Alligator mississippiensis: one gene and its partners. The protein of the gene in region 3 purifies or fractionates together with the protein of the main gene of each other region. This does not show direct contact. Links are inferred from orthologs where the notes say so. Each region holds a gene or a part of one and is shown on either strand. Other genes may lie near its edges.

Evidence for each region.
Region 1: the proteins of SNX9 (region 3) and DNM1 purify together in Homo sapiens (co-immunoprecipitation; 6 studies listed by BioGRID and IntAct, counting the BioPlex papers as one, with this or other methods). This does not show direct contact. The link is inferred for Alligator mississippiensis from reciprocal best matches to the Homo sapiens genes SNX9 and DNM1.
Region 2: the proteins of SNX9 (region 3) and DNM3 purify together in Homo sapiens (co-immunoprecipitation; 3 studies listed by BioGRID and IntAct, counting the BioPlex papers as one, with this or other methods). This does not show direct contact. The link is inferred for Alligator mississippiensis from reciprocal best matches to the Homo sapiens genes SNX9 and DNM3.

What each region holds. Positions count from the first base shown.
Region 1 is NC_081835.1:57,700,273-57,708,512, forward strand, and holds the start of DNM1 (dynamin-1), read right to left. Parts: upstream 3,233-8,240; 5' UTR 2,940-3,232; coding exon 2,779-2,939; intron 1-2,778. UniProt on the Homo sapiens protein: Catalyzes the hydrolysis of GTP and utilizes this energy to mediate vesicle scission and participates in many forms of endocytosis, such as clathrin-mediated endocytosis or synaptic vesicle endocytosis as well as rapid endocytosis (RE).
Region 2 is NC_081828.1:44,900,943-44,909,362, forward strand, and holds the start of DNM3 (dynamin-3), read right to left. Parts: upstream 3,621-8,420; 5' UTR 3,583-3,620; coding exon 3,437-3,582; intron 1-3,436. UniProt on the Homo sapiens protein: Microtubule-associated force-producing protein involved in producing microtubule bundles and able to bind and hydrolyze GTP. Most probably involved in vesicular trafficking processes, in particular endocytosis.
Region 3 is NC_081824.1:136,046,578-136,054,726, reverse strand, and holds the start of SNX9 (sorting nexin-9), read right to left. Parts: upstream 3,719-8,149; 5' UTR 3,566-3,718; coding exon of another isoform or gene 3,554-3,565; intron 1-3,553. UniProt on the Homo sapiens protein: Involved in endocytosis and intracellular vesicle trafficking, both during interphase and at the end of mitosis. Required for efficient progress through mitosis and cytokinesis. Required for normal formation of the cleavage furrow at the end of mitosis.

The DNA of each region.
Region 1 (8,240 bases), on a different chromosome or scaffold from region 3:
TATTTTCTCTCCAATTATTTCCATGAATGGTTTGTTTTTATTTTGTCCCGTCAGTTCCTGCTTGCAGACCCTTTTGTCATCTAATTATTCTAAAAGCTGTGGCACCTTAATGTGCTACCATGGAGACAACTGATAGGACACAGCATGGTCACAAGTACTCCTAGGGTACAGATCATCAGAAAATGATGGAAAACAGAAATCAGCTCATTACCCTCCATCAGGCAACTACACTTTCCAGTTCTCAACTGAAAACAGTGGAGTTACACCAAGGATGACTGTGTCCCCTAATGCTTGCAAAAATCTGAAAGAAAGGTATTACATTCCCCGATACGCTGAGCGTCCCTTAGAAGAGCCCTTTCCTGGCTCAGTGGTCATGCATTATAAATTACGCCATTGCAGCAGTGCCTTCAGACAAGACTCGATAGATTTGACCATCAGCTGTTAGGGGCCACGGAAGCAGACAACCCAACAGGTTAACTAGGGTTTTATTCAGCAGTGGTTCTGGTGATCTTATTCCCTTCTCAATTAGCTTTATCAGAGTATTAAGTTTTTGGGGGCAGGGATCCTTTATTGTGTTTTTACAGCCTCCTAACACAATAGATTCCAGGTCAATGACTGTGGCTCTAAGGTTGGACAGGGATAAAGTTAGTAGCAGTATTAGTGTAAGAGCCGACTGGGGGGGGGTCTTTTCCTTGCTGTGATGCCCACAGGCACACGAACAATCAGAATGGGATCATCAGTAGGCTCCAGATAGGTCCCTTATAATCACCAAGTGAGAATCCCAGGCTGTTCTTTTACATGTGCCTATAGGATATTTTGCATGAAATACTACTCTGATCCCAGTGTTTTAATTTCCCCAGGAGCGGCAGTTATGCCTTCTCTTAAATAAGCTGTGCTGCCTACACACAGTCTTACTTCTGAGGGCTGCCCGAGTCTAAGTCCCTATGATGGGGTCTGTTCAGGTACCAAAGATAGAGCTATTTCTACTCATTACAGGCTCTCTTAACAATACAAAAGCTTTACAAGTCTTTTGTTGGCAGATAACACAGTGCAGAGGCTAGTGTGGGGAAGAGAGAACAGTAAAAGGGGAAGAAATGGGAGACTGTCAAATTTTGGGCAGGAGGGGTGTGAGGGGAGGTCTAAAACACAGCACTATCATAGCAGTTGTCTTAGGAAAATCCCTTGCAACCTGCATCATGGTCACAGAGGAAGGTAGTTCCCGATAGGCAAGAATAATCACAATGGCTACAATAGCTTAACCAGGCTACAGACAAGCTCAGAAAGATCTCCAGGTGTTGTGTCTGTGTCTTCTCTGGTTACCTGCTATTTGTTGAATTTGCTGATGATTTAATATGAATGTTACATGAAGGGAAAGCATCAATCTTCCTGTCACAAAATGGTAGTCCCCAGAGCTTACAGGGGAACAAACAACCCAATCCTTTCTGCATCTTCTCCATCAGCTCCCGACATGGCATCCACCATAGAGGACAGAAGCAGACACTGGGGTGGGGATCAAATTAAACTTAAATGACACTGTTGTTTTGCCTCTTAACAACTACCTCCATCTTTAGGGGGCTGCATAGCATTGGGGGCAAGTCTTGCACCCAGCCAGTCACAATCAAGAGCAGAGGACAAGCTGTGTTAACCTAGCCTTCCTAGCAGGCATTTCACCTTGTAGGATTCCTCAGGGTGAAACTTGTAACAAATAAGACATCTAGTCATGAAGGATGTGCTCAGATAACAGCAGGGAAAGGTTATCTTGGTATCAAACGGGTTTTGCATAGACAGTTCTGTATTTGCATGCGCAGTATTCACTGATCAGCCCTTTCCAGAACCACATAGATGATTCAATGCCAATAATGATTCAGGAGCTGCATCATTTTTGGCACAGGTTTGAGGGTCCCCAAGGTGTGATAAAATAGGAGAACACACCAATTGTGGCTATTTTCCTCAGACATTTCTACCTCCTGAGATTACATAACGGAGGGAGCCTTTGTTTGTGCTTTGCTGTATCTCTACGAGGGTGTATTGAATGTACAGACCAATCTATGTTATTCCTTCTCTCCTTGAAGCAGTGCCCTCCCTCCCATACTCCTCAGCCTGCCCCCTCCATGTCCAGCAGCAATTGTCCTCTGACAACAGTGTGAAGGGGGGCAGACATCCTTCTATCCCAGCTCCTTCCCCTGAATCCTGCCTCCCTGTCTTTAGGTCTCAAAAAAAAATAAATAAATGATTTAAGATTTAAACCATTAAATCTCCTGTGCTGTGGACAACGCATTTAGCTCCATGACTTCCTCACTCCCTCTCCACCTTCAGACAAATGGCTTCTTTTGTGCATTAGTCACTCCAGAGAAGGATCTGTGGGAACCTCTTTCACCTCCCCCTTCTCCAAACCCTATGAGAGCCTACCCAGCAATGAGGCCCAGCACTGATCCGCTGCCAATCAGATCTAACCAGTTTAGAGCTTGACACTTATACACACACACACACTTATATGCTGCGGAGAGAGACCCCTGGGCTACTGAAGGTGACAGTGTCACCGCTCATGGATTTCTGCATTATACCCTGCATTGCAATCCTAGCTGTAGAGCGTGTGCATGCAGCAGGGACTGGGCTCCTTCTACACAAACCCCAAGTCAATGGGAGCAAGATCAGCCCTCCTCCCCCTGCTTGAATTGCACTGCCTGCATATTGAGTAATGCCTTGCACAAGATACAGACACATCAGGATCCAGCACTAGAACGACCCCTAAAATCATACGTGTCTTTGCAATCTTACCTTCCCACGAAATTCTCCAGCACGGAGCTCTTGCCGGCGCTCTGCCCCCCGACCACAGCAATCTGGGGCAGGTCCAAGTTGGCATTCTGGCCGATGGCTGCGAAGGCATCCTGGAGCTTGTTCACCAGGGGGATGAGGTCTTCCATCCCGCGGTTCCCCATGCTTGCAGCTCTGCCTGGCTCTCACCTTCTAGGCTTGCAATGCAACCGCCTCCTTCTCCCCCGCTTGCTTTGCAAAAGATCTACTGGTGGGGATCGACCCCCGAGCCCGCATGGGGGGCTGTCCCCACCCACCCTTCCGTGGCCAGTGGGGCTGGCTCGCCCTCCGCCTCCACCGACCTTGCCCAGGTCCCTAGATCTCTGCGGCAGCAGCGCTGCTCCCGACTGCCAGCTCGAGACCCGCTACCCGCCGGGCTCCTGCTTGGATTTAAAGCGCAGCGACCGAAAGCCGCCGCCAGGGGGCGCCGTGATGCCTCCGGCGCGCCCAGAGCTTCATGGGACTTGTAGTTTCTCTCTCTAGTGTCCGTGGGCGGCCAAAGCGGGCTATGCAGCAAGAGTAGAATAAGAGGGATGTTTCCAGTGTCTCAGCAAGCAAAATCCTCACTAGTGGAGTTAAAAGGCGAAATTAAAATCCAGCCCTACAAGCTGAGATGTGGCACAGCTTCATGATCGCTGATCTCTTGCACGATCAGGGATACCTTGCAGTACAGAAAGTAGGAATAAGTCTGTCTTCTTTCTTTGAACCTGGAGAAGCACAAAATGATCAGTGCCCTGACTCTGCACGCTGGAAGGGCACTGTGAAACCATCCCTTCCAACATGTGAAGTACTGTCTCTGTAAATAGTCAACACCTGAAATCACTGGTCTGAAAGGTTATGTTCTTGTATTTCTGATTGGCCTTCTGTTTTTGGATCTCTGCGTTTTGCATTTCATCCGACCGGGAAGTGATCCATTTCAGTTTCTTATTCAGCACACTCGGACCTTGTTGCCATTTCCCAAATATGCAGGGAAATACTTAATAGGATGTTTCCACCGGTTCTTTTTTTCTAATTTTCACAAAGAGAAAGTCTTCCATTTCAGGGTTTGTGAAAGGGTAGCTACAAAAATAAAATGCAGGGCCATATTTACATTGGAAGTATGCCCAGGTGAAAACAGTAGTGTGTTTGGGAAAAAAACAAAGGAAGTGGTGGCTCAAGAAAATATATAGCATCTCAACTGCCATTGTAACTGAGGCTAAACGGTATTCCTGTTCCAGGCTCAGATTCAGCTGAAAGCATAGTACTTTGGCCCTTTGCCTGAGCTGCCATCTTATTTTCCAGAATTTCTGCTCTCAGTTTTTTAAATAAGTCTCAGCTATTATAATTGTACATAAAACCTCACAAATATCAGTCAACTGTGAGCTATGCAGACACACCTGTATGAAACTGCAGAGCCTGGAACTATAGCTCTGAGAGGTGTGAAATGCCCTTTTTGTATCAGGGACATGTTAGCTCAGATGTCAAATGATGATTTACATCATCCATGCTGTTAACTTTCATTCCTCACGCAAGAAAGGTAAGCGGGGAGAATCAAAGATCTGCATCTCGTGCTGTGGGTGATGCATCATTTTCAGGCCATCAGTTGGTGGTGTTTAGGAGAAACCACTACTTATTTTTCCTTCCAAGCTATCAAGCCTAGTTAACCTCAAAGAGGGCCAAGCTTAATAACCCTAGTGGAGGTTAAGAGGTGCACACAGCCATATGTTGCCAATTTCTCTCTCTGCTGTGAGCCGCCTCTCATTCTGAGGATTCATACAGGCAGAGTCTGAAATAACAATATTACCCTCTCTCCCTGGCAGACTCCTGCCCTTGGAGATATCAGCAAAGTGTGAAACAGGCATCAAGAATGCCCTCCTTCCTGTCCAAGCCTCTTTAAGGAGCAACATCATTTCAGTCTCGCCAGACACATCTTTGCAGTCCCCCTCTAGCAATCTTGGTAGGAAAGTTACCATTTGCTAGAAGCTTGCTTTAATCTGCATTTCTAATATTCCTATACAATTGATTGTATTTGATTGCTATGGTCAACATTTGTGCTAACAGGAGCGGCCTCAAACTGTGCTGATATTGGATTTTGCCCCCATCTGGCTGTTTCACATTCTAAACAGGTGTTTCACTCCGGATGAGCCTGTTCCCCAGAATTCATCACTTGGAATCCTCCTGTTCTCAGTGAGATCTAAAATTAAATGAATATACTTGTTTTTCTATTAGAAAAGGTTTGCAAAAAAGCAAACCTTTGTGCCAACAGCTGATTTTCACACTGAAAAAAAAATTAATGTCCCAGGGGAAAGGAAAGGAAACTGGATGGATTGGAGGCAACACAGAATTTGCAGCAGGATCATTTATGAGCTCTTAGGTATTCTTGCCTTTATACTGATATGAAGTTGAAAGCTGCGAGAATCAATGAACCTACGGCTCTGAGGTGAGCTCTTTATGCCCTGCCTGGTTCAATCTAATCACAGTAGCCATGCTACCTGGTGCAAGAGAGGCCTGAAAGAAAGTGCTAGGGAAGCAAGCAGAAGAAAGCAGATTCTCTTCCCAAGCCTCCAAGAAAGGAGGAAAAAGGGAGAAGAAAAAATCTGCAGAAACGGTGGCAAAGTGCCTTGAGATTTTCACTCCGAGCCTGTCAGTCACCATGAACGTTACTTTGTAAGCTGCACAAAGCACTTCACCTTTTACTGTTTTGCAGGTGCACTCGGGTAAAGGAGGATATGGCATGTGTGCATGATATCAAAGCTCTCAATTGTCAGTAATATTGCCACAGCATTAGTCTGCCCTGTCAGTTCTGTGATGATTCCAGTCATACAGATCATGGCCTGCAAAGTCAGAGCCCTAAATTTAGGTATGAAGGAAACTGAGGTCTGATATCAAGTAGAACTGCATGTGCTTATTACCTCTCAGAATAATTTTCTGCTCATGTAAAAGCTTGTGCACAGGAATGGTGTCTGCAAAGGGCAGTGTAGCAGGCTTTGTGACTGTACAGCATTGCCTTTCTAGATGACTTACACACCTGCTGTACCAGTAGTTAAATAAAAAGAGCCAAGTGATGATCCTTGGAGAAATTATCTTACAAATAAAAAAGGACATTTCCAAACAGGAATGGAAGAGAAAAAACAAGATCATTTCTAGGCTAGTAAGTGCTGCCTGGGAACAGATGAATGAAGGAAAAGGGAGACCTTTTCTTTAAGATGGTTTAAAGATCTAGGGCCATACTTTTAAATTAATCTCTAAAACTGTACCTTCACATAAAGATGCTGCTGCTTGCAGCTCCATCTACTGATGTGCTAACAGGCAGCGTGGGTGCACTAGTCAGAGCAGCAGAGACTTCTTATGCCTAAAGAAGGGTGATTGTGCCTGAAAGCTTGCTAAGAACTTTTTTTCCAGCTACTCAGTTGGTCTAATAAAAGATATCACATCTACTCAAAGAACTTTGCCTGCCCTTGTTGGGACAAATGTACTTATGCAAAGACATCTGCCAACTATGTGGCTACTGCAGTTTAAAAGCCCTTTTGGAAAAGCACATCCTTTAAAAAGTCATCCAGTAGAGCAAATGCCAGCAGGCTGCCCCTCTGCAGGAGAGATCCAGGTGTATTGTCAATACACTCAGACCCCAGTGGAACAGTATACCAGATCCCATGTAAAGATTAGTAATTTTTATAATTGCCATTGGTGTCCTGCTCACTAAGAATCTCCTTTTCAGAGATCCTGAGCCCCATGGGTCCCAGCCTTCAGCCAGAGTTGTGAATGCTCAGAATTTCTGACAGTCAGATTACAGAGGAACCTCACATGCTCTTCACAGATTTGTTCCCAGGACACTTCTACAATCCAAGGTAAGAATCTAAACTTTTAAAAGATCAGGGATGGGGATTGCCAAATGGTTCAGTGTAGGAGAGTATCTTTATATCACTAGTGAATAACATAGACATGCAAGAGGAATGTTTTTGACATAAGAACAGTTATCTGGAACACGCACATCCCCCAAATTCTTGTTTCTGCCTGTGTTGCTTTGGCAGTCAGGAAAAAATAGTGAAATAACTGCTCCATTCCCCTTCAGTTCTGAAACAGGACACGGTAGAACCCACCTCACGCTCCTCCCTTTTACAAAAACCTTCAACAATGGCAAATATCGTTGAAAGCAGATTAAATTAAATTTATCCCTGGTATAGCTCCACTGATGTCAGGACTTAAGCAAGGTAATGAATACATGTAATTTTTGTAGCCCAGTGGGAAAGGGATTTTTGACAAGCGTGCGTCTGGAAGAATGAATGACTATTTTAAGACCTGTAGATGAGTTCCCTGTGCATTTCAAATGCGGAGAGGCAACACAAAATAGTAACTAAGTCTATGTTACATCCATGTGGGACTGAAAACAGTAAATAGAAGTTACTTGGGGCTATTGTAGGGAAGGCATCATCAAAATAGTATCTAAATTTATATCCTGTGGACATTATCTATCTATAGATGGTATTCAGCAAGAAATATTGCAAACAAGTTTGTATGTTAGCTGGCTGAAGAATAGATGGTAGCATCCCAACGCTTCCTGTACAAACAGTTTGGATAACCAAGTACTGCGTATAGCTAAGTAGTCAATGCCCTGTTGGTTCCCAGCTGGCTGGTTATGGCCTGGGTGGATCAGACAGGAAAACAGCAGAACCCAGCAAATATCTATATAGATAGAGAAATAGATCTAGATGGGTAGATAGATGGATATATCTAGATACATTTAATTTGTATCCACAGCCACATTAGCAAAAACTAATGCTAAATCCAAGTGTCCAGAACCATAAGCGGCCTACTACCGGCAACCATCCTCCACCCGCATCTGGGGCTTCAGCTGTTTCCAAAACCTTTGGGAGGCATCCTACTTGCAGGCCCAAGCCCGGGGGCTTGGGGTTCAGATGCCCCTGAGTTTTGCTTGTCCTCAGCCCTGCGGCCCTCGGAGCAAGCAAGGGGGGAGACTGCCATTTCCACAAACTGGGCTTAACACCACTGCACCTCGCCAGGTCCTGATCCACGCCAGAAGAGCAGTTCTCTTGTGACACGCTTCAGGAAAACTGCCTTCTTGGACCCAGATACGTGGCATTTCCAGTGCCAGGTGAAGAAGCCGCAAGGCTTGTCCTGAGATCTAGCTCTCAAGAGCGGAGGCCCGGGGTTAGGGAAAGTTGACAATACAGACACCCTTTTTTACAGAGGGCGCGAGGCTCTCCGAAGACAGCGGCCACAGGGCCGGCACTCAAACAGCCCGGACCCACAGACATCCTCAGCGGGCAGCAAGTGGCTCCAGTGTCCAGGCAGAGCCGCGCTGGGCTGGGCTGCGCGCAGACGTGGGGCGCCAGGACCCCTGCGGCTCGTGGCTCCCCGGGGCAGGGGCCGCTGGAGCCCGCGGAGGGGCAGGCCGAGCCCAGGGGCGGGCGCGCGGGGAGGCCGCA
Region 2 (8,420 bases), on a different chromosome or scaffold from region 3:
GGAAGAGGAAGCAAATACACAGCCTATGCTGGCTATATGCTAGAGAGCAATGCTCTACCACCCCCTGGCTTCTGGCCTGAGCCACTGCAGGCATGTGGCTGCATTTCCTGAATAAACAAAAATGAATGTCTGTCCAACTGTTTCTCAGTTTAATCTCTGCAGCTTAGACTAACCTGCAAAAACTGAATCAATTCAGCCTCTGGCTTTTTTACTGTATTTAACCTAAGGTATAGGCAATCTGCCAACTGTCCCTCAGGGTCCCTGAACCCAGCAGAAGGTGCACTGAATTTGCAAGGCAAGAGGTAATAAATTCTAATCCTATGGCTGTTAGAATTCCTTTGCCCTCTTCATACTCTATTATGAAACACAGCTTAATATTACCACCTTCGGTGAGTAAAGTGATGTTTATCAGTTGTCCACATCAAGATAACAAAGAACTTACACACAGTGCTGGGAACAAAGCCCAAGTCTACCCACACTGTTCCGTAGTCTTTTAAAAGGAAGAGAGGTAAATCAAATGCTTCTGTAATCTAGTGAAGCCCTGTGTCTTCCTCTGGCAGCAAGACCACATATGGAAATGACAATTCTGTTACTGTGTGAACACCAAAAGATCTGGTTCCTTTGGCCAAGTGGTGGAAACTCACTTTTACGTCCACTGATCCCTCATTCAGTCCCAGAAATGCCTGAAATAGATGCTTTCTTCTCTTTGTTTCTGCCTTCTGTAAACACTATATCATAACATATGCCCAGTACCAGGATGAATAAACAAGTATCCCAATGTCTAAAGTTAAATCTTTTTCCCACCAATACTTATGTGATCTACTGGTAATGTGATGTGTATGTTGCATTTCCCCTGCAGGGCCTCCTCCACACAGGATAACAAGATGCTTTCCAGCCACTTGTTACAGCTATAGAACTGAATTGGAAATGGTACCTGGAGACAAAGGTTGTGGGTTCAAAATCTGTTGATGACCCATAAGAATGAAAAAAAGAAAGAAAAAACACATTAAGAGTAGAATAATAACTGAAATAATTCTATACAGAGCAAAACATAAGTGAGATTGCAATGAGAATGTGCTCTACTCATGTATGTATGTTAAGATTTTACCTATTTCACTTAATAACAGCTGGCATTTTAACAAGGTGTAAGAGCTTTTGCCTGTATATCCAGAGTGTAAGAACCTACTTGCATCAGCTCCAAAACCTCAGAACTTGACTAAATAAATGTCGTACTCCCAGAAAGGAAACTCTCATTCTTAAAAAGTCTCTTTTTAACATTTTTGGGAACAGCACTGCCCAGAGACACCCAAATTATAGTAGCTATAGATGGCTGATCTGCAGGTAAAGCAATTTAATTCCTGCTGACCTGTGCTTCAAAAATTGTTCCCATCTCCAAGTTACTGAGTTAGCTCCTCTCTGACAAGGGTATGAGAAGTCTGACTCCCACATCCAATTCACTGCTGTGTTTTGCGCTATGCTGCAAGCTCTTTGAGGCAAGGACTCTCTCTTACACTGCATCTGTGAAGCACCTAACCCAGCAGCGGGCAAAGTCCAGTCCACAGGCCAGATCCAGCTCACAGTGGACTCTTATTTCCCAGAAGCCCCTGCCTGCATTGCTGAAGTGGGTTTCCCTCGAGACCCCAGGAGCAGCAGAGCCATGATAGTGAAAGACCAGGGTTTCCATGGAGACTGGACGCAGAAGTGCTGGCAGGGCGCACGGCAGGGGTGTGCAGGCAGCAGATCATGGCTCTGCCCCATCTCTGGACCATGTTTCATCACTGCAACATCCCAACCCCTGCCCCGGAGCAGCTCCCCCTCCAGCCGTGTGTCCTGACAGTGCTGCTGGGGCCAGTCTCCATGGAAACCCTGGCCCCGCAGTGTCACAGCCCCGCTATTCCTGGGGTCTTCATGGAAACTAGCTGCGACACAGACAGGAGCTGCTGGGAAATGGAGTCTGGCCACCAGCCGGATCCACCATTTTGCTCATCTCTGGCCTAACCTAATAAAGCTCAAAGCCCCTTGGGTCCTCTAGCAGCAGCCCCTGCTGTGGAGACCAAAATATCTTAATTTCCAATTGATGAAAGATGACCCTACTGTAATTGTCATACAAGTGCATTAGAGGCAGACAGAGGGTTTTTCTACTTGCACAGGTACACCATCTCTGCTGAAAATTTGAAAAAATTAAAAGCAAAAAAAAAAAAAAAAAAAAAATGCGTAAGGAACTGATCCTGCCTAAGTGCAAAGAATGGAGCAGAGAAATTCTATTCAACATTTCTATGAATTCAGACTGCTGTAGTATAAAGCCACCACTGTATTTGTTGCAAAGTGCTGTCTACTGCAATTGCTATCAAGGAGCTCAATCCAGCCAAGCCACAGTAGTTGGATCACTTTTAAGTCCAATCAATTAATCAGCAAAAAACAGAAACCTTGGTGATATTTACAGTCAGCTCTTCCACTGTTATATTTCCCCAGAGAGATTACTGCAAACCATCCTAGCATAAAATGGTATTGATATCCTGTAAACAATGCTAGTTTTCCCAGGGCATGTTAAAAAGTGTGCTCTCCATACACATTTTGAGCAAACAGCTTAGCAGAGCTGCATGTTATATCCGCCTTCCAAAGAGATGTCAGCCTCTTTGAATACAAGACATACCCTTGATGAATGTAGCAGCACTGTCACATTTCCCAACATCCAATGGAATCCCCATTACTAAGCACTTTAGTGAGACAGGAGCCCTGTCTGCTTCTCAGAAGGAAGGAAAGGGAAAGGCGATGCCACCCTCCTGCATGTGCAGTGGAAACCACACGAGAAAGCAAAGTCACAGCCCAGCCTCAGACTTTATCCATGAAGTCGCTGGTGTCACTGGAACACTACACATCTGGTCCCCAACATCTGTCTTAGCTGCCACAGCAAAAAAAAAAACAACCCAAAACCCAACCACCCTCCACTCACTGCTTGAATCTCTCTGCTACACCAGCCACACTGGAAACCCAGGATGCTGCTCAACACCTGTGTGGAGGGGACCCACCACTACCAAAAACAGGGGGTGGGAGAAGAGGAGGAGAGGGGGTTGTTTACGGGGGTGATGGAGCATCCCTGGTCGCGGCGGGCAGCCTCCTCCTCTGCAGCCTGGCAACAAACCTGCATTAACTGGGAGGCTTGAAACACATGTATGCGCACGCACACACCCTTCAACACACCCCCTCCTTCACACACACACACGCACACACACACATCCCCCTTCGATATCCCCCACCCCCTTTGACACACGCGCATGCACACACACCCTCTGGCATACACACGCACACACCCGTTGCCCGCACGCCTGCCCTTGGACAAGCCGCAGCCGCCCAAAGGTGCCGGGCGCTGCGGGGCGGGGCGGGGCGGGGCGGGGGCTCCGAGCAGCAGCAGCGGCGAAGCCGCCCTCGCCCTCACCTGGAGACGCAGTTCTCGAGCACGGAGCTCTTGCCGGCGCTCTGCCCGCCCACCACGGCGATCTGCGGCAGATCGAGCAGGCAGCTCTGGCCCAGCGCCGCGAAGGCGTCCTGCAGCCGGTTCACTAGCCCGATCAGCCCCTCCATCCCCGCGCCGCCGCCAGGTAACGGTCTGCGCCGCACGCCTGCGCAGTGCGCGCCGCACCCCGGGGGCGGGGCGGGGCGGGGCGGGGCGACCGGGACACGCCCCTGCCACGCCCCCCGTGTTGTCCCGGCTGCCGGAGGCTGCCTGGGGCGGGGACGTGGCGCCTGCGAGTGATAGAAGCCCCGTGGGGCATCCAGGAGTCCTGGAGAAGACCCGCCCCCCGCAGCAGGGGCGGATGCAGAATTTGGCAAAGGGGGTGCGCCCCCAGCTGCAGCCCTGTCCTGCCCTGCGGGCACGAGCCCTACGCCGTTGTAAAGTTCCCGAAGCAGATGAGCGTCCCCCTGCCTCGCTCAGAGGCGTCCGCCCCCGTCTCTCTCTTCGTCTTAGCCCAGCCCCACACAAGTCCTCCTGGACGGGGAAGGAGCAGCTCTGAAGCTTTCCCCACCTGGGCAGGGCTGGATTAACACACAGGCAAACTAGGCACGGACCTAGAGCCCTGAGCTGAGGGGGACTGGCCCTTCCCTCCAAGGTGGTGGCCCTGTCCACCTCTCCTCCCTTCCCTTCCCTCCCCCTCCCCTCTGCCAGCCTCCCCACAGCAGCTGAGCCCCACCCACTCCCCGTGGCAGCAGCACCAGGGTGGGGAAGGGGGTCTCAACCAGCTTGGGACCCACACATTTGTTTGCCTAGGGCCCAGTAAAGGATTAATCTGGCCCTGCACCTGGGGACAGTAGGGAAAGCAGGTGGGGGGGCTGGGGGACAAGGGGAGGGGGCCTGTGTTTCTGAGGACAGAGGGGAAGTGAGGCTTTTCTTCCACTTTGGGGGCTTCTTTCGAAGTCTGCAGAGGCGTGCAAGCGTGTGCATGTGATTTTTAGGCTTGTTTGCTTTGCCTTCAAGGCTTCACATCTCAGCCTTGAGGGGGAAGCTGAGTCCCAAAGGAGCATGTTGCTCTACAGCCAGGAGGGCCAGAGAATTACTGAGAGCCTAGTGCTTCCCTTCACCCCTGACTTGCTCAATATCATGAGAACTGCCAAAACCACTCAGACCACCACAAGCATCAGGTATCTCCTGGGCCTGCTACCTCCACTCTAACATCCCTGTGCTCCTCTGAACTGCATCGTCTTGAAGCTGGCTGCTGCCAGGCTTCTAAAGCAGGTCTGGAGTGAGGAGGGCAGGTCAATTAATTTTTCCAACTGTTTAGTTGGTCTAATAAAAGATATCACATTTACCCAAAGATTAAGAACCTTGTCTGCCTATGTCCTTAAACCAACATAGCTACAACCTACATCCTCAAAGGCATCAGGCCTCTAAGTCTATGCATCAGGCATTGGTCTATGCAGTTAAAGCCGGTCAGCTGTATTCACTTGTCTTGATAAAAAAATATATATATATTTAAAATTTATGTAGCAGGCTTACCTTTCAGAGCTTGGGCTGAGTCCCAGGTTTGAGATCCTGCTGTTTTGATTGGTGGAGCCCATCCACCAATCAGGAGGCAGTAAGAGAAGTGAAGTCACATGCCTTTCCTGATGGGAGGGAGAGAAGAGCTCCCCTGGACCTGATTGGAGACTGCAACACTGTCAGGCTCAGAAGACTTCAGGGGCAGAGCCCTGGAGGGTATAAAAGGAGCTGTGCCTCCAGCAGGGGGGAGATGCATTAGGGACAGAGAAGGGCGGGGCTTAGAAGAGCTGAGGAGAGCTGCTCAGCAGGGTATAGCAGTAGCCCCTGAAAACTTCTATCAGCCGGGAGCTGCAGATGGCTCCAGTGGTTAGGTTCTCGGGGCGCAGCACGGCATCCAGATCCTGGCAGCTGCATGAAGTGGCTCGGGTCTGCAACCTTTGGCGTGCAGCCAGAGATGGTGCACAGGCTGGGGTATGGAGCAGGATCTTTGGAGCCACTTGAGCAGCTCAGGTCCTCAAACTCCACATGAGACTGGGAGCTAAGTGCAGACAACGCTGCACAGATGGTCCAGGAGCAGACCAAGCCCTGGTGCTGCACAAGGCTGCCCAGGCCTCCAACCCCTAGTATGAGGTAAAGCGCCCGCTACACACAGCAGTGCATGTGGCCCTAAGCCAGGCCAGTGACAGTAGTCAGGCGGCAGGAAAACCCAGCAGGAACAGAGCTCAACCTGGAGAACAGGAGGCAACCCTCCGGGACTGTGGAGTAGTAAGTAACCCTGGAGAGAGGGTTCCCACAGGGGAGGGACCCCCAGGGTTGTGAAGGGCCACCTCACGGGCTGCTCCTGGATGATAGCAGGGGGAGCTTAGGAGTCTTTGGGGTCTCCCTCTCCTTTTCTTTCCTTCCATCTCCTTTCCTGTAGTGATACCTTGGGAGTGGGGCCCCTGCCCTGGAGGGCACCCAGGTAGTCTAAGGGTTGCTTGTTATATATGTAGCCTGTGCCTTGTAGTTTATGTGAATAAGTTGAAGTAATAGTTTGTATATTAATAGAGTTATAAAGTTGCCCAATCAATATCCTTTGTTCTGGGTTGTTCTGTTGTTCACTTGTATTTTTGAATAATGTGTGTATATGGTATAAGGTTAATTGTTTTGTAAATGTGTACATGTGATGGGCTACCTGGTAATGATTTGGCCCAGGGGTTTTGAAAGGGTAAAAGATGATTGGAGGGCTTTGGATTCCCTTTCCTCATCAATCGGGCCCCAGAGATTCACCTTCCATGTCCCCTGATTTGGCCCCTCGGGTCACCTGGAGGGGGATAAAAGGGGCAGTGCAGCCGACTTGGAGACCAGCAAGGGAACAGGAGGAAGGAGTTTCAAAGAGCTGGCAAGAGCTGGGCTAGCGGGGCAGGAGCAGTTGCCCCAGAAGCACCTGAAGGAGTGGGACCTGCAGGCAGCAGTTGGACCCTCAGAGGCACGGTGTGTAGCTGGCAGGAGAGGCTCCCCACTGGGCTCTAGGATCCCCCTATGAGAGGCTGTGGCCAGCAGGAGAGGTTTCCCAGCTCCAGCAAGAAGCTGAGTAGTGACTTGAGAGGTTCCCAGCTTTGCTTCCAGCTTCTCCAGCAAGAGGCAAGAAAGCTTGATGTGAGGCAGGGGCTCTTGGAAAGTCAAAACCCCCAGCAGTTTGCAGCAATACTAGCACTGGTGGCTGTGTGGTAGAGTTTCTGCATAGTATGTGAGAGCTCTGAGTTCAAGTCCTAGTTAGGATAAATGAGGTGAAATGACAGGGAGAAATTCTTGTTGCAGTGGAAGGGGGTCATTGTGTTTTCCCTCTTTCCCCCCCCCCCCCCCCCTCCAGGTACCTAGCCCCTATATTTCTTGTTGTTTGTCATTTTGTATCTTGTGCCTCTTATATTTTGCCAACCAGTATTGTTTGTTCTGCTGTTTGCGTTTTTATATTTTGTTAAACCTGTCTTTTTGTCAACTGGAAGAATATGTCTAGGATTGTAAGTGCCTAACTTCTATTGAATCCTGCCCCCTCGGGGTGTTGTAGTGTTCCCTATACCCCCTGGTTTACACATGTTATGTTCCCACTACTGTTTTTCTCATTAAAAGGTATATGGTTAAGTCCCCATTGGTAATCTGGCTTTGCTCTATAGGGGAAGGAGGATCCCTACACCTCCCACAATGCTTGTGCACCTGCTCTGATCCCTTCAATTGGAGAGGGGGTACATCTTGGAGTACCGCCCGGGTTACAAACATATGTCCTTACCCTTAATGGTTTTATTGTAATAACTATATACAAATTTGTTAAGTAATTGATTTGACTGGGTCTGACTCCATAGGGGACAGAGGCGGCCACTAGTCTCCTGTGTCCCTCCACAGCACCCTGCCCTGCCAATAATTCCCTCCAATTGGAGAGGGGAGTACAAACCTGTGTACACCCAAGTTACATTTAGAAAGTTATATATGGCTTCTTTTTGATAGATTGGCCAATGTCCTTTGATTTCTCTCCCCCCCCCCCCCCCCCCAAAATAACATTACACCACAAAAATGTAAAGCACAGGTAGATTTTGACAGGAAGTTTTCAGAAGAGAAACAGTAAAATTGCCATTATTTGAAACTGGAAGTGATTCTCCCTCAGTGGAAACTGGTACAAAATATTTTTAACGTGAAACTTCTGAACTGACCCTGGCAGCTTCTCAAAACAGAAAATGAGTTAAGGTATGAAAAATGTGATGCTTCTCTTCCTGTATTCTCCTAAAAGCCCATTAGCCTCAGGAGAGTGTATGGGTCTTAATTTTCTTACTGGGCTGAGTGCGACAGTTGACTTGCTAGAAGTTGTTTAGGAACTTTGTCATTGAAACAAAAGCTTGGCCCAAAGGTGGCAAGCCCTGCCAATAATCGGGGATTCTCTATCTGGTTTCCTTGGTGACCTACAAAACAAATAAACAACTGTCCCATATCCCAAAGCCTGCAATCCTGTGTCATAAACAATTCTCTGGTCACCCTTCAAAGTTGTAGCATCAGACATTGTTTAAGCCAGGAGTGTCAAATGCATGGCCTGCAGGCTAAATCCAGCTCACAGAACCATCCTAGCCAGCAGTCTGGAAGACTACCAGAAGTTGGGTATGTGCCCTATGAAGAATGGGCTGCTGCAGAATTCAGGGTCCCTGAACGTTGATGGACATGGCCTTCAGCAGCACAGGGTGAGTGAGGGCTACACAGCACATGCTTGCCACCCAATTTCCCAACCTGTGCTCCCACCTGATTCCCCAACTTGCTCTGCTGCTTACACTTGGACATGCACTGCCACAATTCCCAACTTGTGCAATTACCTCATTGTGGACCTGCAGGGTCTAGACCTGCTGCAGCTGCTGCTGGCTTTATGGATCGGGTTCAGGAGGACCCTACATGGCCCAGATCCAGCCCAGGGCCTAAGGCAAGTTTG
Region 3 (8,149 bases):
TCACTGTAGTACTTGAGGCTGTTAGCATTTTGTTAAATACTCCTCCTTCAGAAATCAATTTCACATTAATATTATACTTGCAAATAAATATTTAGAAGCAGAAGACATTTCTTGAATGTTAGGTATTTAATTTGTTGATGCATATTTTTCAATTTTGGATTGCATCCATCTCAATAAACCAGAAAACTAACTCTGCCTACTGTAGGGCAAGCAGACATCAATGCAGCAGAGCACAGCTGAGAACACTGCAAAACCTTTTTATGTCATTTGGGAACCTTTGCGGGTAGGTGAAAAAGTAGTCAGTGCCTCAATGGTAGATGACTCTGCTGCCGCAATTGGCATGGCAAGAGCCTGCACTGCCCTGGGCACCTCACAGCTGCCTCAGGCTCAGAGCTCCCCATCTGGCTGGGCCCCTAGATGGCAATTAAGCACCGAATTTTATTAACAGGTGTTAATACAACTAGTTTCATTGATTTCAGTGGGACTATTCATATGCATGAACACTTGAAGGATCGGCTCCTGATGCTAGCCTTAACTTTCAATTTAGTGCCCAGTGTAGGATCAAGCTATATATGCAGCAGCTAAATAAACAGCCTTGAATATCAGTGTACTTGACCCACAGGCTCCTATTATAGGTTTTATTTCTGTTGAAAGACTGACTTGAACTAAAAATAAGGCTCCTCCTAAGAAACAGGAGTATTTTCTTTATTAAATAATAGGTCTCTACATTTAAGCTGAGCTAAAGCTCCCTTTATTTAAGGGTCATCACACTGTTTCCAGGTATTTGCAGCACTCCCATCCCCAACCCAATAAAGCTTAAAAGGTAACAAATGGCACAATACAAATTAAATCAAAACCTTGCAAGCTACTGTGGCGATGGAGGTAAATGATAAGCCATTTTTTCTCTAAGAAATCTACTAGTAAACTGAAGAAATTCTGTGAAGCAAACAGCATTTTTCTAGCAAAAAGCTTTACAAGTTTTACTAAAGCCTCCTTGTGAACTTGCAAATCAGAGCAGCATTCACTTTTTCACAAATAGGAAAGCAAAGCAACAGGGAAATTAATGGTAACATTTTCTGAAGCATATGGTACTTTTGGATGCCTCATCATTAGGTATCCAACATGATGCATGCAATATGATTTTCAGGAGTACCAAGTAGTCCTCAATTCAACTGACACAGATTAAAGCTGAGGGCCTTCAGAACCTCTAAACAAAAAAAAAAAAACAAGATCTAAATGTCTGGAATAAGACTCTCAGACGCACCCATGTCCCTCCACTGACAACAACGCTAAAAGGCACTTTAGGGGGAGGGGGGCAGGGCAGGAAACCAATTGGAGAGAGTGCAGAAAGCTCTTCAATTTACTTGACAATAGTACAGCAAGAGCTGATGGCTGAAAGCTTAAAGCTAAACAGTACCAAATTCAAAATAGAGCGCATTTATGAACAGCGAGTTAGTTAACTGCTGGAAGTCTTGACTGAGAGTTGTGACGGAGTTTCCATTTTTTAACATTAAAATTAGCTACTTTTTCAAAAATACAACATTCAAATACAGAAAGTTGTTCGGGGAGGTCCTGTGTTTTTGCAGGTCAGATTAAGATCAGTTGTTCTCAGTGTTTTAGGCACCCCTTGGAAAATGCTAACTTTGCTCTCACTCAGTTTTGAGCGCAGAAAAACAACAGAGGAACTCTTCTGTTGCAAAGAACACAAACACCACATGTCTGAATGTTTCTGATGCTCTGGAATCTTATTGGAAGCCTCTGAGTTTGTCAATCACGTGTCAGTCTTCGTGCTAATAGTAGTAATATTGTGTGGCACCCTTAAAACTTTCTGCTTGAGAATCAATTAACTAGATGATCACAACAGTCTTCTGGCTTAAATCACTGTATATAGAGCATTAAAATGTGGTCTTCTCTCAAAAAACCCCCAAAAAACCTAAACCAACCCTCATCCACCAAGTCACGGTAACACAAATCCGAAACAAGATTTGGTAACATTTTTGCAAGTACCTCCCCAACATTTAGCAGGATCTAATAGGAGTTAGCAAGTTTGAAAGGGGAAGAGGACCGCTTGGGGTAAAGATAACTGTGACAACTAAAATCCTACTTCATATAAGTAAAAAATAGCTAGCTATGTTTCTGAATGGTGTACTGAAGTTGCATGGACCATCAACAATTAAAAGTAGAACCTATTGTTGATAATCTAAAGCATGACAGATAAAGCTTTCTTAAATGTATTGCACGCTAAGGCCAAGGTAACAGGCTACTCTCTTATCAGTATATCAAAACAAAAAGCCAAGTAGGTATTTACACCTGAAAGAAAACCCAGCTTCCCCTCAAAATTAAGGAGATGAAGCTGAAAACTGTTGCAGCTCTACTGCCCACCAGGTAATTGTATTGAAGAGAGTATTCTTCTCTAAACAAGTTACAAACTACGATAAAAGTGGGAAGAAAGACAGAGCACACACTGCTGACCCAGAGTACACTATTGCAAATCTTTATAAAGTACTGTAGTATATAAACTCCAAGATTAAACCGTGCCTCAGTCAGATACCAGTAGCAGAGATATATTTAAATGTTACAATAAGGTAAGAAAAACCCTGAACGAGGTGGTGTTTATGTAGCCCACACCTTTCACTCAAAGTCACATTCCCTCTCCAACAAGTATTCTACTGATTCTAGAAAGTCGATGGCTGAGTGACAGGGACAAGTTTCAGAGGTCATGGATGAAAACCCAATTACAGTCTTGGTTTCTGTGACAGCTACAGCAACAAAGTGCTGGTTTCTTACACTCTTCGCTCACCACATCCAAAGGTGCCCCCAGGACCACCACAACTCTCCACTTCCTTGCTGCAAGACAGCACAGCAACGGCAAAGCGGTCACTTTAGGTTATCTCCTGTCTGAGAGGGCCCTTACTTCAGCAGCTGGTATCAAGAAATGCCCATCGCCTCTCTGAAAGGATAACTGTGGCCTGTGTGTGGCCTGCAGCTCCATGACACAGAACAGCCCTGGCTCCCGCCCGGTCCAGAAGAGCACAAAACAACTGCAGTCACTCCCTCTGCCTGAAGAAGGGTGCTCCTACCCGAAAGCTTGCAAAAAACAGCTTTTCCAACTATTTTCTAATAAAAGAGATCGGGTTTACCCTAAGAACCTCGTCTGCCCGTGCCCTTAGACCAACGGGGCTACAACCAACCCCACGAGTTTCTTCCCTGGCAATCAAACCAATTAAGCGGACAGAGAGTGGCAACAAAAAGCAGCACCTCTCCAGACAGGGCTTCCAACAGCTCCTCCCCAAAACCAAGCCAGCCCTGGCACCCGGGCAGCGCCAGGGGGGGAGCGGGGCGGCAGACTGAGGCGACCAGCGGGCGGGTGCCGCGGGAAAGGGGCCGGGCCGGGGGGCACCCCAGCGGCTGTCCGCCCCGGGCTCTGCGTCCTGGGAGCACGGCCCAGACCGCAGGGAGCCGGGCCCAGGCCCTGCCCGAGGGAGACGGGACCCCAAGCCCGCAGCGGGGGGAAGAGGGGGTCCCGGGGCTGCGGCCCCGGCCTGGTGTTCACCTTGGCGGCCATGGCGGCGGTGCGGGGCCTCCCTCCGCCCGCTCCTGCTCCTCCGTCCGCTCCCGATCCCGGTCCCGCCCGCTGGCGCGGAGGCGGCTCCTACCCTGGCCGCGGCAACCGGGGCAGTGGGGGGCGGGGCCCGGCCTCTGCCCTATCCACGCCCGCTCCCGCCCCCCGCCACGGGCAGCACGGGACCGGGCCGAGGGCGGGATTGGGCCGGGGCTGGTGCCGCGCGCGGCGGGGAGAGCGGCGCTCCGGGGGCCGGGGCCGCCTCAGCCACGTGTGTGTGCGACACAGACAGACAGCTAGTGCGTGCATGCATGCGTGTGGGAGAAGAGGAAGAGTCCGTCCCGTGTGTGAGATACGCGTGTACTGGTGTGCGCACGTGTGTGTTGGTTCGGGCGGGGGAGGAGGACTAGTCCGTCCCGCGTGTGTCCTCTGTGTGTGTGTCTTTGTGTGGGGGAGGAGGAATAGTCTGTCCTCTGTGTGTGTTCACGTGGGGGACAAGTGTATGCATGTGTTTTCATGTGGGGAAGAAATAGTCTGTTGCGTGTGTGCGTGCATGCGTGTGTCTAGGAAAGGAAGAATAGTCCATCCCATTTGTGTGCGTGTGCTGTGTGGAAGGAAGACTAGTGCATCCTGTGTGTGTGCTCATGTGTGGAAAGAGAAATAGTCTGTCCCACGTGTGTCCTGTGTGAGTGTGTTTTTGTGTGGGGGAGGAGGATTAGTTTGTCTCATCTGTGGAGGGGAAAGCTGCTGGCCCACCAGCCATTAGCCTTGAAGCAGGAGTTTCAGAAACCTGCATCTGGAGGAAATTAATCTTCCATGACATCAAGTTTCTTCCACAGCATTTTTTTTTTTGGTCTGTACTTCACTCGTCATCGGCATGTGTCATGTGGGTGGGCCCTGGCAGGCATTGGTAATTATGCAGAGTACTACAGTATCACCTAAGGGACCAACCAGACCGGAGCCCTATTGTATGAGGTGCTGTACACGGATATAGAATAAAGGTTATTCTTAAACCTGCTTAATTTACAGCCTTTGAAAATGAGGTAATGGGTAGATTAAAATGGGGAGGTAGGGAATACAGGGACAGCAATACAAACAAACATCTGCATACACTCACTGTGTGCATAGTTTGTAAATGCAGTGGTAGTGGGAGGGGGCAGCTTTAGCCACATCTTCAATCCCAAGTTAAAGAAATAGGGTAATTATACAGTTGTCCTCAGGAAGTTAGAGAGGGTCCGAAGACGAGCAACAAAAAAGATAAAGGGCAAGCCGTGTGAGATGTTGAAGGAAATAGGCATATTCAGCTTGCAGAAAAGGTGCTTAAGAGGGGACATGATAATAGACTTCAAATATCTGAAGGGCTGCCATCAAGATGAGGGAGAAGACCTTTTCTGTCTTGCTACAAACAGCAGGAACTCAGACCAATGACTTGAAGTTGCAGCAACATAGGTTTATACTGGAGATGAGGAAAAACTATGAACTGTTCAGGAAGGACAGGCAGAGGAGAAGAGGAGGAGTTGCACTTTGTGTAAAAGAGCTGTGTGATTGCTCATAGCTCCAGTATGAAATGAGACAGGCCCACTGAAAGCCTCTGGCTTAGGGTCAGAGGGGAGAGCAACAAGGGTGATGTCGTGGTGGGGGTCTGCTATAGGACCACCAGACCAGGAGGATGAGGTGGACAAGGCTTTCTTCAAACAGCTAGTGGAAATTTCCTGATTGCAGGCCCTGGTTTTCATGGGGGACTTCAATCACCCTGACATCTGCTGGGAGCGCAATACAGCAGTACGCAGGCAATCCATGGAGTTTTTGGAGAGTGCTGGGAACAACTTCCTGGTGCAAGTGAAGGAGTGACCAACTAAGGGCCATGCTCTTCTTGACCTGCTGCTCACAAACAGGGAAGATTTGGTGGGGAATATAGAAGTGGATGGGAACTTGGGCAGCAGCAACCAAAAGGTGACTGAGTTCAGGATCCTGAGGAAAAGGCAGGATGGAGAACAGCAGAGTAAAGACCCTGGACTTAAGAAAATCACCTTTTCACTCAGGGAACTGATGGGCAGGATCCTCTGGGAGGCCAGTCTGATGGGGAAAGGAATCCAGGAGGACTGGTTATGTTTTAAAGAAACTACTTGAGGGTGCAGGAATGAACCATCCCAATGTACAGGAAGACTAATAAGTATGGCAGAAGAGCAGCTTAGCTTAGCAGGAAACTCTTAAATGAGCTAAAACACAGAAAGGAAGCTTATAAGAAATGGAAACTTGGACAGACTAGGGAGGGGAGTATAAGAGAACTGCATGGGCATGCAGGAATGACAATCACGAAGGTCAAAGCACGGCTAGAGTTGCAGCTAGCAAGGGACATGGAGGGTAACAAGAAGGGTTTCTACAAGTATGTCAGTAACAAGAGGAAGATCAGGGAAAATGTGGGTCCCTTAGAATGGGGAGGCAGCCTAGTGACAGAGGATGTGGAAAAGTTTGAAGTACTCAATGCCTTTTTCAGCTCAGTCTTTACAGGCAAGGTCAGCCCCCAAACTACTGCACTGGGCAGCACAATTTGGGGAGGAGGTGAGCAGCTGGCAGTGGTGAAAGAACAGGTTAAGGACTAATTAGAAAAGGTGGATGTGTACAAGTCCACAGGACTGAATGGGATGCACCCAAGAGTGCTGAGGGAGGTGGCCAATGCGATTGCAGAGCGTCTGGCCATGATCTTTGAAAACTCATCGTGGTCAGGGGAGGTCCTGGATGATAGGAAAAGGGCAAATATAGTGCCCATCTTTAAGAAAGGGAAGAAAAAGGATCTAGGGAACTACAGACTAATCAGCCTCACCTCAGTCTCTGAATAATAGAATCATAGAAAATTAGTTTGGAAGGGACCTCATGAGGTCATCTAGCCTAACCCCCTGCTCACAGCAGAACCATCCCCAACTAGATCATCCCAACCAAGGCTTTGTCTAGCCAAGTCTTAAAAACCTCCAAGAATGGAGGTTCCACAACCTCTCTGGATAACCTGTTCTAACGCTTTACTACCCTGCTAGTGAGAGAGTTTTTCCCAATATCTAACCTAAATTTCCCTTGCTGCAACTTGAGACCATTGGTCCTTGTTCTGCCATCACTGAGAACAGTCCAGCTCCATCCTCTTTGGAACCCCTCATCAGGTAGTTGAAGGCTGTTATCCAATTCCCCTCAGTCTTCTTTCTCCTCTCCAAACTAAATAAGGCCAGATCCCTCACACTTTCTTCATAAGTCAGGTGCCCCAGCCCCTTCACCATTGTTGTTGCCTTCTGCTGAACTCTCCCATTTGTCTACATCCTTTCTGTAGTGGGAGCCCCAGAACTGGACACAGTACTCCAGATGTGGCCTCACCAGTGCCAAATAGAAGGAAAGAATCACTGATCTGCTGGCAACACTCCTACTAATCCAGCCCAGTATACTCTTAGCCTTCTTGGCAACAAGGGCACACTGTTGGCTCATATTCAGCTTATTGTTCCCCAGGTCATTTTCTGCAGAGCTGCTGCCCAGCCAGTCAGCCCCCAGCCTGTACTGGGACATGGGATTGCTCTGTCCTAAGTGCAGGACTTTGCACTCGTCCTTATTGAACCTCATAAGATTTCTTTTGGTCCAATCCTTCAATTTGTTGAGGTCTCTCTGTCTGAATCCTAACTCTACCCTCCAGCATGTCTACTACTCCCCCCCAGCTTGGTGTCATCTGCAAACTTGCAGTGGGTACGCTCTATGCCATCTTCCAGGTTACTAATGAAGATATTGAACAAAATTAGTCCCAGGACTGACTCCTGAGGCACTCCACTTGATACTAGCTGCCAAGTAGACATCAAGCCATTGACTACTATCCTCTGAGCCCGATGATCCAGCCAGGTTTCTATCCACTGTATAGTCCATTCATCTAGCCCATACTTCCTTAGCTTCCTTAGCTTGCTTGCAAGAATGTTGTGGGAAACCATATCAAAAGCCTTGCTAAAGTCAATGTATACCACATCCACAGAACCAGTCATCACATCATAGGAAGCAGTCAGGTTGGTCAGGCATGACTTGCCCTTGGTGGATCCATGCTGACTGTTCCTAATTATTTTCTCCTCCAGGTGTTTAGAGTGTTTGTCAATACCCCCCACCCCCAGCTCATCAAAACTCCCTAAGTGGCTCTGTCTCAGGCTTGGCCAGGTGGGGAGCAGCATCTGGGAGTGGGGCAGGCAGGCAGGGTTAAGGCAGAGCACTGGCTCATGGGCAAGGGCATATGGGGAACAGATTGTGACTCTTCCCTGGGCCCCAGCCCCATGTTGACTCCAGCAATCCCAGGTTCTCCATGAAAACCAGCCAAGGTCCGCGTGGGCAGGGTACATCACTGGGCAGATGGGATGGGGTCATGGGCAAGCAGAGAGCGTCTGGCAGTGGGATGGGTGGGCAGGGACTTGTGGGCAATGGATTGTGGCTCTCCCCTGGGCCCCAGCCCTGCACAGTCACCACTCAGCAATCCTGATCTCATCCCTGGCCCTGCCTGTCCGCAGCCCTATCTGGGCCAGTCTCCATGGTGACCCTGCCCACGTGATCCATCCGCAGTGCCTGACAGTGGGTACA